Arabidopsis thaliana: one gene and its partners. The protein of the gene in region 1 interacts with the protein of each later gene in a biochemical or structural test. Each region holds a gene or a part of one and is shown on either strand. Other genes may lie near its edges. The genes, in order: ABF1, CDPK9, CPK4 and KEG.

What was found.
Region 2: of the proteins of ABF1 (region 1) and CDPK9, one has a biochemical effect on the other in vitro, tested with the Arabidopsis thaliana proteins (one study listed by BioGRID).
Region 3: of the proteins of ABF1 (region 1) and CPK4, one has a biochemical effect on the other in vitro, tested with the Arabidopsis thaliana proteins (one study listed by BioGRID).
Region 4: of the proteins of ABF1 (region 1) and KEG, one has a biochemical effect on the other in vitro, tested with the Arabidopsis thaliana proteins (one study listed by BioGRID).

The regions. Positions count from the first base shown.
Region 1 is NC_003070.9:18,398,313-18,403,189, reverse strand, and holds ABF1 (abscisic acid responsive element-binding factor 1), read right to left. Parts: upstream 3,185-4,877; 5' UTR 3,030-3,184; intron 3,004-3,029; exon of another isoform or gene 2,407-3,003; 5' UTR 2,365-2,406; coding exon 1,366-2,364; intron 1,249-1,365; coding exon 1,177-1,248; intron 1,092-1,176; coding exon 1,037-1,091; intron 914-1,036; coding exon 828-913; 3' UTR 573-827; downstream 1-572. Other genes in the region: AT1G49730 (Protein kinase superfamily protein), read left to right, coding at 64-572. UniProt on the Arabidopsis thaliana protein: Binds to the ABA-responsive element (ABRE). Could participate in abscisic acid-regulated gene expression.
Region 2 is NC_003076.8:7,949,637-7,954,232, reverse strand, and holds CDPK9 (calmodulin-like domain protein kinase 9), read left to right. Parts: upstream 1-1,613; 5' UTR 1,614-1,799; coding exon 1,800-2,328; intron 2,329-2,561; coding exon 2,562-2,705; intron 2,706-2,790; coding exon 2,791-2,943; intron 2,944-3,015; coding exon 3,016-3,299; intron 3,300-3,398; coding exon 3,399-3,623; intron 3,624-3,707; coding exon 3,708-3,845; 3' UTR 3,846-4,031; downstream 4,032-4,596. Other genes in the region: AT5G23590 (DNAJ heat shock N-terminal domain-containing protein), read left to right, coding at 59-241, 331-363; AT5G23575 (Transmembrane CLPTM1 family protein), read right to left, coding at 4,192-4,340, 4,429-4,596. UniProt on the Arabidopsis thaliana protein: May play a role in signal transduction pathways that involve calcium as a second messenger.
Region 3 is NC_003075.7:6,047,676-6,052,939, reverse strand, and holds CPK4 (calcium-dependent protein kinase 4), read right to left. Parts: upstream 3,500-5,264; 5' UTR 3,381-3,499; coding exon 2,843-3,380; intron 2,301-2,842; coding exon 2,157-2,300; intron 2,068-2,156; coding exon 1,915-2,067; intron 1,814-1,914; coding exon 1,698-1,813; intron 1,486-1,697; coding exon 1,318-1,485; intron 1,231-1,317; coding exon 1,006-1,230; intron 918-1,005; coding exon 756-917; 3' UTR 560-755; downstream 1-559. Other genes in the region: AT4G09580 (SNARE associated Golgi protein family), read left to right, coding at 1-13, 88-219. UniProt on the Arabidopsis thaliana protein: May play a role in signal transduction pathways that involve calcium as a second messenger. Functions as a regulator of the calcium-mediated abscisic acid (ABA) signaling pathway. Phosphorylates ABA-responsive transcription factors ABF1 and ABF4 in vitro.
Region 4 is NC_003076.8:4,343,293-4,348,221, forward strand, and holds the start of KEG (protein kinases;ubiquitin-protein ligase), read left to right. Parts: upstream 1-1,909; 5' UTR 1,910-2,325; coding exon 2,326-3,068; intron 3,069-3,894; coding exon 3,895-4,248; intron 4,249-4,328; coding exon 4,329-4,559; intron 4,560-4,740; coding exon 4,741-4,866; intron 4,867-4,929. Other genes in the region: AT5G13520 (peptidase M1 family protein), read right to left, coding at 1-159, 284-1,279. UniProt on the Arabidopsis thaliana protein: Mediates E2-dependent protein ubiquitination. Acts as a negative regulator of abscisic acid signaling. Required for ABI5 degradation, by mediating its ubiquitination.

The DNA of each region.
Region 1 (4,877 bases):
TGAACAGAATAACTTGACTACTTTTGATGGAAGCTGAGTTTTAAAAACTTGAAGTTTTTTCAGGTTATGTAGATCCGGAATATGTAGTAACGCAAGAGTTGACAGAGAAGAGTGATGTGTACAGCTACGGAGTTGTGTTGCTGGAGCTCATAACCGGGAGAAGAGCAGTTGATGAAGGTAGGAACCTTGTGGAAATGTCTCAGCGGTTTTTGTTGGCGAAATCAAAACACCTCGAGTTGGTAGACCCGAGAATCAAAGACTCTATTAATGATGCTGGAGGAAAACAACTTGATGCAGTTGTGACGGTTGTGAGATTGTGTACCGAGAAAGAAGGCCGGTCTAGGCCATCAATTAAGCAAGTCTTGAGGCTGTTGTGTGAAAGCTGTGATCCGGTGCATAGCGCATTTGCTAAAGCGGTTGAAGAAGAGATAGGCTGGGATAGTAGGAAGAGAAGCAATTTGAGAATTCAAAGAGGTGATTCCCGGATCTTTGGTCCATCGTCTAGTACTACTTCCAGGTCACATTACAGCCGGAGTTTACCTCACTCTCCAATTAACGGATTTTCTTTCTGAGTTAGTCACATCTTCTCTATAGCTAAATCTGAAAGTTTTACATATGTTTATGAAAATTATGAATTCATATTGAAAGCTCTCATACTCTACACAGACTGCACTCTTAGTTAAATTCAGCTCAAAAGATTTCTACATTGTAAGCGTCTCTGTAATTTCTCCTGTACAGTAGCACTATCTTCTATTACATATTACTCTCCCAGTGTCTTCCTTTTGAGTGGTCCTGTATTACATTAGCAGGTTCTTCTTGCTTTGACTTCACCTTCTTACCACGGACCGGTAAGGGTTCTTCTCAAGCATTGTCTTTTGGCCAGCAATGGAGGCTGCTTCGAAAATTCCTTTAGCTGCAAATTCAAGTACTAGTATCAGTGAACTGTGTGTCATCAAAATGACAATAGAGCTACATTTAGACAGACACAAAATGTCTGGTAATGTAGAGACAATGATGGTGTATACATGAAATATACATAAGTAGAGGAAAAACGTTATTACCTCACTATTATGGGTTTTCATTATTTCAGCCTGCAACATAGAGAGACCGCAGTTAAATAACTGAGCCAGCTAGACTCTCTATGGAGAAGCAATAAAAATGGTAGAAGAAAAAAACCTGTTTCTTCTGCAAATCTTGATTCACTAGCTTGAGACTTTCAATCTCAGCTTCCAGTTCCAAGGTATAAGCCTGAGGTTTAGCCAAAACATCAAAATGATTTCAAAGTTCTTGAAAAGAAAACGGTAATGGCAGTTTGGTTAGATGATATTGATATCAAAGTTTTTGAGAACAAAACGGTAACTTTACCTGTTTTCGAGCCCTTGATCTAGCAGCGGATTCCCGATTCTTGATCATTCTCTTTTGCCTTCTCTCAACAACCTTCTCCAGGCCCGTATTGCTTCTTCTTCCCCGACCAAACACGTAAGGAACTGGTGATGACCAAGTATTGTTTTCTGCACTGCTCGTCCCAGGAGAAGTAGCTGTAACAGTACCCCCTGCTCCTCCCATATTACTGTTGGCTGGACCATCTGCGCTAGTCTCAAATAAACCCCTGTTGACCATATTTACAGGCGCCGCAAATGTTACATTCGCTTGTTTTGGAAAGATAGTTGGAGGCAGTCTCTGATGTGGCTGCTGCAACTGCTGCTGATGTGGCTGCTGCTGCTGCTGCATGGTTCCACCAACTTTGAGGCCTAAACCAGGTGCTTGATTCATGATCATAGAACTATTGTTCCCGTTGAACGATATGCTGTTTTGATTCGGCTGACCAAATCCAAACTCCAAACCAGCAGCACCGTTGTTAGCATAAAACCCGCTACTACTGTTTTCGTTCTGCTGAGTATTATCTTCTTTAACAACGCCAGCACGGAGTAAGAAATCTTCCAGAGTCATTTCCCCTAAAGTCTGTTGCCTCTCAAGCGCATCCGTTCCAGTATTCCCATTACTACCTTCTTTCGAATTCAGGTATTTCCAGACTTCATCGACAGTCTTCTGACTAAGCGTTCTAGGCAAGGTCAAGGAGCCTTGCCTCTGTAAACCATTTCCTCCCGGAACAAAACCACTAGGTCCCGGGGCTGCAACCGAAGATGTAGTAGTCATAAAGGCTTGAGTATCCTCAGCAGTCCATATGTTCTTGAGTAACTCATCCATATTCATAGACCCAAAATCTTTCCCCGGCTCACCTAATGTGCTCTGAAGCTCATCAAACGTTAAGGAATATAACGAAGACTGCCTCGCCAATGGCTTTGACTCATTCCCTCTAGAAGTATCGCCGCCTAAGTTGTTGATATCAATGTGAGTACCCATACTTCTTTTCTGTTTCACAACGGAATCACTTCCTTCCAAATTCTTCAGTGAAAAAACAAACGAATCAGACCCTTTTAGCTTTACCTAAGAGAGAACAAGACCAGAAAATTGAAACTGGTTTAGGAGTATAACACACCACACAACTATGTGTCACATAGTGCTTTTAAGTATACTTGCATAAGAGCAAGCAAAGAAGACCAAAAGCAAAAGGCAGGAACGTTCATATAAATGTCAAAACTTTATAAAGTTTTAGCCAGAAGCAATCAATCACAAACATATACATAGAAGTGTGTGATACAGAGAGTATAAATTGGATCCTTGGATTCAGAGAGAAATATAAGATTGGATCAAAATCCATAACTTTGACCATTCTTGAATGTATCTAAAAGATAGATCTATAAAAGATTCTGGAGTAAAAGCAAGATCACACAAACCCTCAAGAAGAAAAACAAAAAAGTCTTATCCTTTAATTTCTTTAGGAATAGTTACTTCATTACTACTACTACTTGATTTAGAACATAGAACCAAAAAAAAGACAAAACAGATATTATGAATCGGACCCAAAAAAAAAAAAAGTATAACACTTCAGGGGATGTGATAAGACAAAGACAGATTCGAGAAGAAAAGAAAACGAAAACGGATAAACAAAAAGAAGGAAGCTTTACCTAATATTATAGGCGATTGCTGAAAATAGAGAAGAGCTGCGAGAGAGAGAAGAGACGACAAGTGTGTTTGTAGTAGCTTCGACACGAACTGCCATTTTAAGGGGTTAAGCTTTTTCCTCTTATGGTTTTTTATTTTATTTATTGTTTAGATATTTTGCTTTCATTTTTTGGTAATAAACTAATAAATATCCCGTTTTAATGATTATTAAACATAGTCACTTAATTTAGCTGACAACCACGTTCATTTTTAACCAATAAGAAGCTGTAACGTGTGAGAGCTTTAGTCGCTGATTGTGTCCTTTGCCTTGTTTGTTTTCTTTAAAAATGGGATTAGATCTGATACAAATATCCATATTAACCTTGCCATTTAGACATTATTTCTGATCTTAATTAACTAACCGAAGAAAGTTTGGATAATTATAGTATTTCAATTTTAATTCGCCAACAGAAATTTTTTAAATATCGAATTCTGTGTTGTAAACTGCACAATTTTACTTCAATTCGACTCCAAGAAAATTACTAAAAAGGAAATTGATTTTTTTTTTACTTATGAACCGCAGTAAATTTTTGTTTGATTTTTAGTTGGCTAATTTTTTTTCAAAACCAAAATTCTAAAAAATCAAATCCTAACTCATCTGAAGTTTATGAATGTCTAGTCATATATTGTTGGTGTTTACCGCGATCAAAGAGAAAATCAAACCACAACAATGTTCGTAGATGGTGGTAATCTATGCACATGACAAAATACTCTATATACAATCGAACAAACTACTAGACTAGAGGTTTTTGGTTAAAATTTTATTTTGCATTTAAATAATTTTCTATGCATATAAAAAAATAAGAAATGAAATGGGAATAAAATTATAGTATAGTATCATGTCGGTCGGAACACCAAATGATTAAATTATGTGCCAAATTAATTTTAATATCATATTGTTGTTACTCATGTAAGATATTTTGTGTGCTTGATAAACTGTGATTATTATACATGAATGATGTTGAAACAACGGCAGAAGTGGGTAGTGATTCTTTTTGGGTCCCATCATCCCAATGGTGTGCGAATTTTGACATCAAGCAATAATCATTATATCCAAGCAACCCAAAAGAAGAAGACTTTTAAGAAGATTTGCGTCGAGTTTAATACAATTCACTTCCAAATTTGGAAATTTTGCCCTCTCCTCACTTGGTAAATGGTATGTTGATGATTTCTACTTCTTTATAATTTGATAACTTATTTAAAAGAATTGTCTACTTTCGTGTCACCGTTGGGCCAGCGTATAGAATGAGCATCAAACCATGATAGAGTTCTCCTTCATTCTTTCTTTTTGTCATATATGTGATCATTGGTATTTTTTTTTTTGTCAATATTAATTTAGATTCATACGAGCTAATTCCGGGAAATATTGTTTACATATGTAATCATTGGTATTGTAATGCTAATTTTGTTTCTTTTTTTTTAAAAACTTCCGCTTTCTTGTGGAGCAAAACATATCAATTACCCATTCAACAACTTTCTAGTCTCTACTAACAAACCTCACGACTTTGTTAATCAAAAAAGAAAAATTACCTCTACTACTAGAAGTAAAAATAAATGAAAAGGAAGAGTTTTCTAATGGGTAAAAATCCAAAAAAAAACCTTAACTAATTTTTATTTAAACGTTTAATACCCAATTGTTTTTTCTAAGAAGAAAAATACATGAAAAATACATGAAATAATAAAACTGTGCAATTTAAATATTCAAACAATTAAATATTGTTATTTTCATACTCACGATCTGACAACAAAAATAAAATTTTAATTTTACCCTTATCATCTCAATTAACTATTAATTTTTTAGATTATATGAC
Region 2 (4,596 bases), on another chromosome or scaffold:
CTCTTTTTCTTTATACATCAAGAAGTTAAATTGATTCAATTTGTTTTTTGTCTTATAGGTTGCAGCGACGAGGACATTGTGTGGCAATCTTTCTAATCCATTGTTGGTTGTACCTCTTCAGAAAGCAGCCCAAACTGATTTTCTGACGGCTAAGAAATCTGCAGAAGCAGAACCGCAGAGTAACATAGTAGGTGCCGGTCTTCAAGCTTATGAAGATGCCGTCATGCAAAGACTGCTACAGGTATTTTTCTACGCTCCTCAGGTTCTTGCTGATTCATTCGTTTGTGTTTTTTTTTCTCAAGAACTCTCATATTTTACTCTCTTCAACAGGCGGCTATGGACCAGAAAAAGCGAGGGGTTTAAGCCACATGATCAAGAACAAAGCTCCTTCAAGACCAAAGTGATAAAGAATAAAGCTCTGCTTCATGATTAAGAATTAAGCTCCTTATACATTGTTTGTGTACATCCAATCTCATATCAGTTGTTGTTGTAGAATTTAAAATTCTAACTCTTCTCGAAAAAAAAAATGCTTCGTATCATCTTCAGGAGAGCTTTCAATTTGTACCGGAAGTCTTTTTCAAACAAGTTTTTGTTTTGAAGAAAATTTTGGATTTGTATAATATTCCTTTATCTAGTTTCATTTGGAATTCTGTTGTAGATTTCATGTGTTTGTCCATGATTTCACCAAATATCTCATTTATTTGATAATTCAATCACTACAATAGTATAAAAATGTGATGTTTAGAAGATATATGGATTTAAAATGTAATTAAGCACAGGGTTGATGGTTACTAAATAAATAAAGTGGACACTGACAGAAAGTTAGAAACCAAACGAGAGGAGGCAAAGACACAAACTAGAATGCGTATGAAAGAGAATGAAATTTTCCTTTTAATTTTCTTTTCTAAAATGATTCGATGTCTTCATCATATTAGCAGAAAATACATGTGACAAAAATAGTTTCTTGAATAAAAGTAATTTAGGTTTAGGAAAAAAAGGCTATAATTTAAAACGAGCTACAGTTTCTTCGTATGTAAGCGAAGGAGACGTTTTTGCCTTTATTTAGTGCCCTAAGTACTGTACGTAGTGTAGATACATATCTTCATTAAGTAGAAAATTTTATTCATAAAAACTCAATTAACTTTTTTTTTTTCCTTTTTATTGCAGTTTTAAGTTGTAAATTACATTGTTTTTTTTTGCAAAAAGTATGCAATAAAGTATTAAATTAATTAACACTATCGCTACAACTACTTCTTTAATTAGTCTATACTATTAGATATCATATAATTTTATTTCTTAAAAGTTAAAAGAGGCAATATTGTACATTTTGAATGCATTGTGCCTTATTAAACAATTAAATTTATTTAACTTTAATAAAGTTAAAAATAAAAATAAAAATTTGGACTCTGGTAGTATATTACCTGATTAATATATTTGAGTATTTGACCAAATTTATATATTTAGAAAATATAAAAATATCAACTAATTAATAATTCAACTATCAATGAATTTTTTTCCTTCATTCAGTTAAAAGCATTCATGGAATTTGTTTTACTTCCCATTTTTTCATTTGATGTGGACAAAAAATCTGAAATGGAAAGCTATTATTAGCTAATCAATCATTGTCCAAAACTTGGTTTTATTTCTCTCCTAACTCTTGACTTCCCTCTCTCTCTCTCTCTCTCTCTCTCTCTCTTCAATGCCTTCTCCAAGTCAGTTTCTTTCCTCATTCAACAGTTTCTCTTCTTCTTCCTCTGCTTAAACGAAACCCTCAAAGAAATAAAAAAAAGCTCTCAAGAATGGCGAACAAACCAAGAACCAGATGGGTTCTTCCTTACAAGACCAAAAACGTTGAAGACAATTACTTTCTTGGTCAAGTCCTTGGACAAGGCCAATTCGGAACCACTTTCCTCTGTACCCATAAACAGACAGGTCAAAAGCTTGCCTGCAAATCCATACCCAAAAGGAAGCTCCTTTGTCAAGAAGATTACGACGACGTTCTGAGAGAGATCCAGATAATGCATCACTTGTCTGAATACCCCAACGTTGTCCGTATAGAGAGTGCGTACGAGGACACCAAAAACGTGCATCTTGTGATGGAGCTTTGTGAAGGAGGTGAGTTGTTTGATAGAATTGTGAAGAGAGGTCATTACAGTGAAAGAGAAGCTGCTAAGCTTATCAAGACCATTGTTGGGGTTGTTGAGGCGTGTCACTCTCTTGGTGTTGTTCATAGAGATCTTAAGCCTGAGAATTTCTTGTTTTCTTCTTCTGATGAAGATGCTTCTCTTAAATCTACTGACTTTGGCCTCTCTGTTTTCTGCACACCAGGTGTGAATTTGTTCTTGTTCTTCTCTAATTTTGTTCCGTGACTGTGTTGGGGATGTTTATGAGTATCAATTTCGTTACTTGATGAGTCAGTTTGTCTATTAGTAGTACTTTAAAAGAGCACATTGACCCCTTGCTTAAGATCCCATCTTTCAAATGCAGTGACTGTGTGTGGTTTAGCTGAATTAGTTTGATAAGGAGCTCTTGTTTTGGACACACAAATCTTTGTCTTTCAGGAGAAGCATTTTCGGAACTCGTTGGTAGTGCTTACTATGTGGCACCTGAGGTTTTACATAAGCATTATGGTCCTGAATGTGACGTATGGAGTGCTGGAGTTATCCTCTACATTCTCTTATGTGGTTTTCCTCCTTTTTGGGCTGGTATATTTCCAATGCCTTCTTTCTTTATAAATGCATTGTTTCCACCAAGTGCTTACTCTCTCTCGGTGTCTTATTCTGTATCCAGAGAGTGAAATAGGCATCTTCAGGAAGATTTTACAGGGAAAGTTGGAGTTTGAGATCAATCCTTGGCCTAGCATTTCAGAGAGTGCCAAAGATCTTATAAAGAAAATGCTTGAAAGCAATCCTAAAAAGAGGCTAACTGCTCATCAAGTGTTGTGTAAGTTGTCATGTCTGCGAAAGTTGATGAGTTTTTTTTTCTTGTAAGCTGATTCATATGTTCTTGTGTCAGGTCATCCGTGGATTGTGGATGATAAGGTTGCTCCAGATAAACCTTTGGACTGCGCGGTAGTGTCCCGCCTGAAGAAGTTCTCTGCAATGAACAAACTTAAGAAGATGGCTTTACGAGTTATTGCAGAGAGACTATCTGAGGAAGAAATCGGTGGTCTCAAAGAACTGTTCAAAATGATAGACACAGATAAAAGTGGGACTATCACGTTTGAAGAGTTAAAAGATAGTATGAGACGTGTTGGGTCAGAGCTTATGGAATCAGAGATCCAAGAACTCTTGCGTGCGGTAAACTAGCTACTACTCCTTTATTATCAACTTTCACTTTTAACATCTTTGTTGTGGCTGGAAGTAATATCATCTTCTCATTGTGTGTGTGTGTGTTAGGCTGATGTTGATGAGAGTGGAACAATTGACTATGGAGAGTTCTTAGCTGCAACAATCCACTTGAACAAGCTGGAGAGAGAGGAGAATCTAGTAGCTGCATTCTCTTTCTTTGATAAGGATGCAAGTGGTTACATCACTATCGAAGAGCTTCAACAGGCATGGAAGGAGTTTGGTATAAACGATTCTAATCTTGATGAAATGATCAAAGACATTGATCAAGATAATGTGAGTAGTACACAAATGATCTTTACTGTTTGTTTGATGAAGAGCTTGGAAGAAATGTTTATGGTGGTTGCTTTTTTTTTGTAGGATGGACAAATAGACTATGGAGAATTTGTGGCAATGATGAGGAAAGGAAATGGCACTGGAGGAGGGATTGGTCGGAGAACTATGAGGAACTCTCTCAACTTTGGAACTACTCTTCCTGATGAGTCTATGAATGTCTGAAGTACTCATTTTTAGTGAAAATAATTTAGCGACTTTATGGAGCAAAACATGTCATATGATACAACTTGCTGTTTCTGCTTACTCTAATTCTGCTTTTAACAACTCTTAGTAATTGAAATTGTAAGCTCTCAACAATTTGTAGAATTTTCCCATGGATTTTACCATATCTCAGAGCTTTAGAGAAAATGTTGTTTTTTTCCTTTTTCACAAAAAACCAAAGGAGTTGCTTAATAATGTGTCTTGAGGGTTGACATTAAACTTGAACAAAACAATTTCCAAAAGTGAGAACAAAAATAAATTAAGACACTATAACTGAACTGTAATAAAATTTGAAGAAGAGAAGAGATTAGTTTGTTTTCTTGTCTTCTTCTTCTTTCTCAGTGATCAACTTCTTCTCTGCAGTTTCATCCTCACCTCCAAAACCGAACTCGTTCACACGTGTCTTATCCACTGGGTAAACCCACCTTTGGTATAAGTATATCAAGAATATCACATCTGAAACACAGAGAGAGAGATCCATTAAATAAGACTGTTTCTGAAAATCTGAATCGAAATAGAGAGGAATTTGATAGATTTTACTCACCATCTCTGAATACAGAAAGTCGATGTAAAATCGGCATTTTGATGACAAAGGCAAAGAGATCGTCGATAATGGTGTTGAGGAACTTGTAAGTCATCTGTCTCCATGGTAAATGTGCCACTGATTTAAGCTTGTAGTTGATGAATAGCTGAGGACACATCATGATGAAAC
Region 3 (5,264 bases), on another chromosome or scaffold:
CATCACAGTTAGAGTGAGTCTATTGTTCAATCTCATTCCGCTGTTCTTTCGTGTTTAAGAGGCTAACATTTACTTTCATTTACACAGGCTGGTTTGGCTCTTGGAGATCTCAGATCAGTAAAGGATTTGTATGATTTCAAGACCTTGTCAGTGCTGTTCCTCATTGGATCCATCTCCATATTCCCTGCCCTTCTAAAGAGAAAGAGAGTATATGAATGAAGAGTCGAAGACTGAAGAGTATAATCATTTATATAGATATTGATGAGCAGCACCTTTCAGTCGCATGGCAGCATTTCAAAGGTGTTTATGAGCTCAAGATAAAAGAAGAAGATTGTTTCTGCAACATCGCGGAGCTTAAAATCGCTAACTCTGGCTTTGATTTGTTTATTGTCTTCGATTTGAGAGCTTCTCTTACCCCCTTGTAGTAGTAAGTGTTTGTGTAGCTAGTTTACTGAATCATGATTGGCTTTGTATATTGAATACTTGATTCAGAGATCTGACTCTGCAGCCTATTGGCTTATGTATAACAAACATGATTATGTAAATGCTTGAAGACATTGCTTTGACCAAATATGGGTGATTCTGATCATATAATGGTTCTATACGCAGAAAATATGAAGCAAAATTATCCATGCTTATAACAAAATTGAGAAAGTTGCTCATCTACAAAAGTGGAAACGAAAACAAAAAGGAAAGATTCAGTTTTTCTTTTGTGAGTTCTCATTTCTCAATTCCAAGTATATAGATGATTATAATTACTTTGGTGAATCATCAGATTTAGCAGTGCTGCTTGTGTCCTCAACTCCAAAAGCTTCAGCTATATTGAAGTTCAAGTTGTTCCTCATAGTTCTGCTCCTCCCAACACCATCTCCTTTCTTCATCATAGCAGTAAACTCTGAGAAATCAATCTTCCCGTCCTAACAAAACCACATATTTTCATCATCAGTTTTAAACCAAACTCACTAAGAAACAAGACAAAGGAAACAGATCATGAAGGCTTCTTACATTATCAAGATCAATCTCTTTGATCATGTCATCAAGAGGAGTGTCACAGAGACCAAACTCTGTGCAGGCTTGTTGAAGCTCGTCAATGGTGATATAACCGCTACCATCTTTATCAAAGTATGAAAACGCAACCACCAAGTTCTCTTCTCTCTCCATCTTGTTTATATGTAATGTCGCTGCTAGGAATTCACCGTAGTCTATTGTCCCACTGTTGTCTATATCCGCCTGCAAAACACCATTTAAGCTTTGTGATTCCTAGAAGAACGGAGAAATCAATATTCTAAAAGAGAGTTTTTGTTTTGGTATAATTACCGCATCCATAAGAGACTTGATTTCTGATTCCATCAATTCAGATCCAACTCTCTTTAGACCTGCTTTAAGCTCTTCAAAGGTGATTGTTCCACTGTTGTCTGTATCTATCATTTTGAACAATTCCTTCAGACCACCAATCTCTTCCTCCGAGAGTCTCTCCGCGATTACCTAAACCGGGAAATCAGTTCTTGAATATAAGCAATGGCATTGAGAGTTTAAAGAACTATAGCTTTCCAACTTATAAGGCCATTTACTTAAGTTTATTCATTTCCTGAAAATAGTTCTTAAAATGTGTTATCTTAGTCGATCTTCCTAACAGGGAAATCAGTTCTTGAAAATAAGCAATGAGAGTGGAGACTAAAGGGCTACAACTTTCTTACTCGTAAGGCCATTTTCTTGATTTTATTCATTTGCGAGAACTGCTTAAGTCGCGACAAGACTGCTGGGTCGAGAGGCTTGTCTGGTGCAGCATGTTCATCAACAATCCAAGGGTGACCTAATAATATCATCAGAGGAAAACTCAATTCTTATATCTTACAGAAATGAACAACAAAATACATGTAGCAGAGAGGAAAACAATCATAAGTAACAACTTACACAATGCTTCATGTGCAGAAATACGTTTCTTGGGGCTCCTATCGAGCATTTTGTAAATCAAATCTTTAGCACCTTCTGAGATAGTAGGCCACGGATCAGATTTAAAATCTATCTTCCCTTGCAATATCTGCCTAAAGATTCCTGACTCGGTTTCTGCAAACAAATTACTCATGGATGCTTAAATCACATAAGCAATATACTTGATTCAGTAGTAACAACGGTACTAGCTTTCACAAACTTACCTGCCCAAAAAGGAGGAACCCCACTTAGTAAGATGTACAAGATAACACCGGCGCTCCACACGTCTATCTCTGGTCCATAACATTTCTTCAGAACCTCAGGTGCAACATAATACGGACTTCCAACTACATCATACAGATACTGCCCTGAAGATGCAAACCCACACAATTGAAAATTTTGTTAAGCACTGAAATTAGTCGGACACAATGTAGCTCTGATAGCATCATTACATAAGCATAAGTAACACAACAAAACTATGTAAATCTTGCAAGAAAAGATTCAGAAAGATCTAGCCACAGAAAATTATTGGTTCTCTAACAATGCTCAAGCAGCAAATTGGAAATGACCATTCAACAAATGATTCTACAGATAACATATCATGAAACCGATTTTCAACACCAAACAAGACATTTCTCAACATAATCTAGACAATGAATCGAATAAAATCTGATAAGATCGCTTCATAACCATAAGCATATGTTACATATATAACAAAACCTTGCACAATCAACACATCCATATATATCAACTAAATGTCAAAACCAGATATAACAAAATTCAATCTTTCCCTAACAATGCTCAAGCAGCAAATCCGAATCAAGAAACCAAATCAAAACATTTCCTTGAACCAACCAACAAAGACAAAAACCATAAGATTCCAATCAAAAGAGAAGAATCAACAACGAACCTGGCTTGTAGAAGACAGACAAACCAAAGTCTGTAGCTTTAAGCTTAGCATCATCACTGGGACTATCAAACAAGAAATTCTCAGGCTTAAGATCTCTATGCATAACACCAAGAGAATGACAAGCCTCAACAACACCAAGAATAGTCTTAATCAACTTAGCAGCTTCACGTTCACTAAAACACCCTTTAGAAACAATCCGATCAAAAAGCTCACCACCTTCACAAACTTCCATAACAATGTGAACAAAAACAGAGTCTTCATAAGTACCCTTGATTCTAACAACATTAGGATGCTCAGAGAGATGATGCATGATCTGAATCTCACGCCATACATCTTCGTAGTCTTCACGACATACAAGCTTACGTTTTGGGATTGATTTGCAAGCGTAATTAGCTGATGATGATTTCTCTGTACAGAGATAGGTTGTTCCAAATTGGCCTTGGCCTAGCTTTTTGCCGAGGAGATAGTGATCTCTTAATCTTGGTGTTTCGTATGGAAGAACACTGTTTGAGGGTCTTCTAGGGTTTGGTTTCTCCATTGTTCTTGATTTCGAAAGTCTCTGCCTTTTTTTGGTGTTTATCAAAGGAGGAGGAGGAAGATGATACGAAGTTACGAACCCTTCAATGTTTCTTGGTCATGTTGACTCGTCTTATGCAATTATTATATTATTATTGCTCTTTTGTTATCCCGTGACCATTTACATTTATAGTATTTACCAACTATTATTGCAAATTTGCAATAAATTGAATTGATGAAAAAAATCTATTGATCTTGACCAAAAAAAAAAGAAAAAAATCTATTGAAATATAGGGACTAGGCTTGAGATTTTTACACAAATGGTTTGGTCATTTAGGTTCGGATTCGGTTATTAGATGTGAATTAATTAGCAGGATTTTAGATGGTTTTGTTATCCAATTTTTTTTTGTTGTTACTTTTGAATTAATTTTTCTAACCAAAGTAAGTCGGATTATATTAACATTATTAATAAAATCGATAACCAAATCGAATCAAATTTTTTATAATTTGTTTATTAGATCTTAAATACATAAATCCGATAGATCTGAACAAAAAACCAATCAGACTCGACCAAAAACAATGTCCAACAAAAGTATGCGTTACATTTCTCTTATATTTATTAAGATTATTAGGTAAATTGTGTTCAAAAAAAAAAAAAAAAAAAAGGTAGATAACCATTTATAGAGATAAATTTGTGCATGATATTTTTTGCAAGTATCAAGTATGTATGGATTTTATCAATAAAACATGATATTATCAAAAAAAATAACATGATATTTTATTTATGTAAGACATTAAAATATATGTGTAAAATCCATCCACTTAAATTATTTAATAAACAGAAAAAAGGTTGGTTCTCAATTTGGCTACTAAACATTATGTCTTAATTGGGAACATGATTTTTTAAAAATCTATATGATTTTTTTTTCCCCTAAAAATCTATATGATATAAAGAGAAAAGGTCGTAAATGGAAAACATATAAAATTCACCGACATGCATGCACACTAACCACCGAATGGACAAGAACCAATTTCTTCATATCATATTTGGTTTGGTTGAGAGTTCACACGGTTTTCGCAGCTTTTTGCAATGCACGACTACAAATTTTAAACCTCGCTCGTCGTGAAGACCACTCTTTCGTTTTGGAGCAATATTATAAAATAGACGTGGTACATGTTAATGTAAATGTAATTGTGTGAATGTCGTATAATACTATAATTTAACACAAAATTATTTCTCTATAATTGTAAAACAAAGTCCAATCAGCAATAAAATAAAATTTAAACCCGAACTATCTAAATACTTTTAAAAATCCATTTCTAATACTTATTACATTACGCCTTAACGATATTAAAATATGAAAAGCAATGTGTACCGATTCTTTATGGCTCTATCCAATCCATGGCTATGCAATATTCCTCATCTTTTGCAATGAGTTCCAACGTAGAAAGAAAATTTCAGGTATTATTTTGCATGCGTCGTTTTAGTACATGTATTCTTTATTTCATCGCCGTTGGGTAAGAGACCTAGATGTATAAGCTTTAGATATATTTATTTCATTGTTCATCTTCAAAATCTGACATCATTTGGAAAACCTCCAAAATCCATCTTTAACCAAACCCAAATAGCATCGGAGGACACTTTATTCATAAATGATGTTAAATAGATATTTTCTAAATAAAATTGGAACTTTATGCAGGCCCCTATTGGCCCATCTTTAAATAAGCTTGGGCTTTCAGCTTCTGTTTTTTTTTAATAAGATGTTCGTTTGATTATCTAGGTTGCTGCAACAGCGGCAGATGCAAGTAAGTGCGGCATAATGCTGCGGTCAACGCTTAAAAGTTGTATTATATATGATAAATGACAATTATACCCTTATTATGTTTGAGAAACTACAAACAAACC
Region 4 (4,929 bases), on another chromosome or scaffold:
ACCTTCTTGTTTGTTCCACAGTTTAGTGCACTCCAAGTTGTCCTTAAACCGTTCCATTTCATCAGTTAAACCCCTCCAACCAATGCCAATGTTCAAAGTAGCTATATCCGCCCCTTGAACAACCTCCACAATTCTCCTCTCTGCGTAAGTTGTAAATCCCTATTGCCATGAACATGAAATAAACACTTTCCCATCAACAAGGCAAACTCTAAAAACGGACACACAGTTACACATCCTAATTTGTAGCTAAAAGAAGCAAAAGCACAAGACAATTCAAAGCTACCTCATTCAACCAGAAGTGTTCATTGTTGATATTAGTGATCAAATTCCCAGTCCAGCTATGTGCGAGCTCGTGAGCTACAACTTGAGCTCCAGTGGCGTCTCCTTTGATAACAGTAGGCGTCAGGAAAACCATTCTTGGATTCTCCATACCTCCATAAGGAAAACTCGGAGGCAGCACCAGTAAGTCAAATCTCTCCCACTCGTAATCTCCAAACAGCTTCTCCCCTTGCTTGATCATATCCTCCGTTCCTGCAAACTCCAGAGCAGCCGCATCTAGAACTTCAATGGCGGCAGATTCTGTGTATACCCGAGTCCTAGGTCCAACTTCCCGAAACCCTAACTCACCAACGGCAAAAGCAAATAGATAAGGCGGTATAGGCTGTTCCATAGCAAACTCTTCCACAACTCTATCCTCACCACACCACAGTGACGACCCCAGCGACCCAGCCTCGAGATGTTTAGCCTCCTCAGGAACCGCAAGCCTACGACGGACGTGGCGAGCCGACATGACGGCAGAGAGCGAATTCGGTATGTTCATAACGACGTCGTAACGGATCCTCGCGGCAGGAGTGTCCTGGCATGGGAAAATGGATCTGGCGTGAATCGCTTGACACTGCGTGTAGACATAAGGATGCAATTTGGAGAAAGTTTGAAGCGGCGAAAGCCACTGGAGAGCGGAAGCAGAAGGCGAAGTGGAGTAGACAATTAGCAGTGAAGATTGACCGGAGAGGACTACGACAACTTCGGTGCCCCGAATTCGATCCGGTGTGGTGGAGACGGAGTAAGGGATAGGCTCGAGAGTGAGAGGATCGAGGACCATAGCAATGGAAATGCAGCGAGTATCAAGAGAGAGTTCGCCGGAGAAGGCGGAGGAGAGAGTGAGGAGAGCGGAGCCATGGATTATGGAGGTGTTGAAATCGAGGTAGAGGGAGAGAGCGACATGCGTGGTGAGAGGATGAGAGGAATCGGTGAAAGAGTGTGGATCAATGGGTGCCATTGCTGAGTGAGAGAAGCTTGCTTAGGGTTTTGAGGAAAGGGGCAGTTAGAGAGGTGGAGAAGAGAGTATAAAGCGGGAGAAAAAGAAAAAATGAAGAATTGTTGTTCGATGGTACCATTTTATGATGATAAATAATGTATTTTTGGAATAATTTGGTTAATGGAGAATCATTTAGTGCATAAAGTTGAAACCGTTAGATATTAAACGGCGACTAAATACAATGTTAAACCCAAGTTGGATGAACCAAAAGCACACCAAGCCACCAACAATCCTGAGATTTTTAACAACCATCTTTTTGGGCTTGAGCCTCTATTGAGCTTCAAGTTTTAGGTCCATGAGTTATACACTCACACGAGTAATCTACTTAGCAACAAACAACGAGTTTACATTTTGGTATTGGTGTCAGATTTATCGTCTCATTATTTGGTGAACTCTATTACAAGATCAAACAATCTATTTGTTTTTGCATTTGGCTCAAAAGCTACTTGGTAAAAACTTCGCCAAAAAAAAAAACTCTCAGTAAAAATTACAATTATTTTTTCCTGATGGTTTAAGTTGTTGATGACAACAAATATAAAATCTGATGGTTGACGATTACTACTATTAGGAGAGTCAATAAACGGGTTCGAGCACAAGTGCTGACGGCACCCACCCGTCAAAACCGACGAAACCAGAGAGCCCTCGAGACTCAACCCCAAATAAAATTGGAAAAAAATGAAAATAAAAATAAAAATGATGATATAAAACCCTGAAGAAGAACCTTTTTCACATTTTTCTTACAATTTTTATTCTTGCTTGCTCGTGTCTGATTTTTCCCAGCCAATTTTGATCTACCTTTCAAAAATTCCACCTTTTTCTTTCTTCTCCATGGATCTGTTCTTCTCTCCTTGATCTGGATCGACTTTACTGAGTTTCCTTCCCCCCCCCCCCCCCCCAGATATGTTCTGAGGAACTCTCTCTACTGAATTGATTGGTCTTTCACTCCCTTCTTACTCTTTGATCTCGCGACCTAAATTAATTTAGGGCTTTCTCTTTTCGGAGCTCTCATGGTTGGGAGAGTCAAGGTCCCTTGTTGTTCCGTGTGCCACACGCGGTATAATGAAGATGAGAGAGTTCCTTTATTGCTTCAATGCGGCCATGGCTTCTGCAAAGATTGTCTTTCCAAGATGTTCTCTACTTCTTCCGACACAACCCTCACTTGTCCCCGGTGTCGCCACGTGTCTGTTGTTGGGAACTCTGTTCAGGGTCTCAGGAAGAACTACGCTATGCTTGCTCTCATTCACGCCGCATCCGGCGGCGCTAACTTCGATTGCGATTACACGGATGATGAGGATGACGACGATGAAGAAGATGGTAGTGATGAAGATGGAGCTCGTGCCGCTCGTGGATTTCATGCCTCAAGCTCGATTAATAGCTTGTGTGGTCCAGTGATCGAGGTCGGAGCTCACCCGGAGATGAAGCTGGTGAGGCAGATTGGGGAAGAGAGTAGTAGTGGTGGTTTTGGAGGTGTGGAGATGTGGGATGCAACTGTTGCAGGCGGTGGTGGACGGTGTAAGCACCGTGTGGCGGTGAAAAAGATGACTTTGACGGAGGACATGGATGTTGAGTGGATGCAGGGACAGCTTGAGAGCTTGCGGAGAGCATCCATGTGGTGTAGGAATGTTTGTACTTTCCATGGGGTTGTGAAGATGGATGGATCTCTTTGTCTTTTGATGGACAGGTGCTTTGGGTCTGTTCAGTCTGAGATGCAACGCAATGAAGGCAGACTTACTTTGGAGCAGATTCTAAGGTTCCTCTTTTGCTTCTCTTATTCTTTTTTTTTGCCTAGTATCTGGCTTTTACTGTGATCGTTTCTGTGCTTAAAGTCTCAAACTTTGATAGCCTGTTCCCTAATTAGAAATTACTGGACTAGACCCGACTTGGTTTTTTGTGATTGCTATTAGAAATATATATTGTAAGTGCACAGTTTTTCAGATTCTAGTGAAACAAGCAACTAAAACCTGGTGTCATTTGCCAAAAGGGCAACTTGTAAGATAACTTTAGTTTAGATGTTCTTAAAAAGCTAGGCACGAATTATAGTAGTTGTCATCTCTCTTTGTCATTACCAGCTGCAGCTACTTTTCATCTGTCAATGCCTCAATAGACAAACATTTTTTGGACTAGTCCTTTCCTTTTTAGTAGTGGATCCTTGAACCTACGTTTGCAAGATATCTTTGAGAAAGCCCTTTACATTAGTATGCTTCCTTCTAAAGTATATGACCAGAAATCATTTTTCAACGAACTGACATATCAAATCATGCAAAAAATTGTACGAATTGTTATACATTAATTTATCAAAGGACGCATCATCTAAAGATGATCCTTATTTTGTTGTCCTGGTTCTAATATTACCTTCAATTCACTTGTTTGTATTTCCTCCTATTTTCTGTTTTTAACTGAATTGCGTCATTTGGGACTATTAAATGTAAGCACTAATGCGTAAATGAGTGTTTTGTATTCTCCTTTCATATCGTGCTCATGTTGTTTTAAGTTTACAACTTAGAATATTCCTTCAGTGACCAACATATGTATTATTCCATTGCTCTTGTTGTGATATTAAATTTTACCAACTGTAGATATGGGGCTGATGTTGCTCGAGGGGTTGCAGAACTCCATGCAGCAGGTGTTATCTGTATGAATATAAAACCTTCCAATCTTCTTTTGGATGCAAGCGGCAATGCTGTGGTTTCTGATTATGGGCTCGCTCCCATCCTAAAGAAGCCAACATGCCAGAAAACTCGACCAGAGTTTGATTCCTCAAAAGTCACTCTATACACGGACTGTGTAACACTCAGTCCACACTACACTGCCCCAGAGGCTTGGGGACCGGTGAAAAAACTTTTTTGGGAGGATGCAAGTGGTGTATCTCCAGAATCAGATGCATGGAGTTTTGGCTGTACGTTAGTAGAGATGTGCACTGGATCCACTCCGTATGTGAAGCCTCTTCCTAGTTGATATTTCAGTTGTGTTTTGTGTCTGCCATTGTACTAACTGTCACTTAATTTTACAGGTGGGATGGTCTTAGTAGAGAAGAAATTTTTCAAGCTGTTGTGAAAGCCCGAAAAGTACCACCACAGTATGAACGCATAGTGGGTGTGGGAATTCCTCGGGAATTATGGAAAATGATTGGTGAATGTCTTCAGTTTAAACCGTCGAAAAGACCAACCTTTAATGCAATGCTTGCTACATTTCTTCGTCATCTACAAGAGATACCACGTAGCCCTTCAGCAAGCCCTGATAAGTAAGAGTTTTAAGTCCCTAAGATTACTTAGTTTTATGGTTTCCCTGTTTTCGTTGCTTGTCAGTAAAGAAGACCCTTTCACTTGTGTTAAGATTAATATTAGCACCAACACCTAAGATTATTTTTGTCATCATGCCTATATTCCTTCGCCTAACAATAATATAAACCATGTATGATGTAGTGGGATTGCCAAAATATGTGAAGTAAACATTGTACAAGCACCTCGCGCGACTAACATAGGGGTCTTTCAGGATAACCCTAACAACCTACATCGGGTTGTTTTGGAGGGAGACTTTGAGGGTGTAAGGTTAGTATCTGTTAGGAATTCTAGTTAATCCTTTTGTTCGCACTAGCTATAAACAACCTGTTC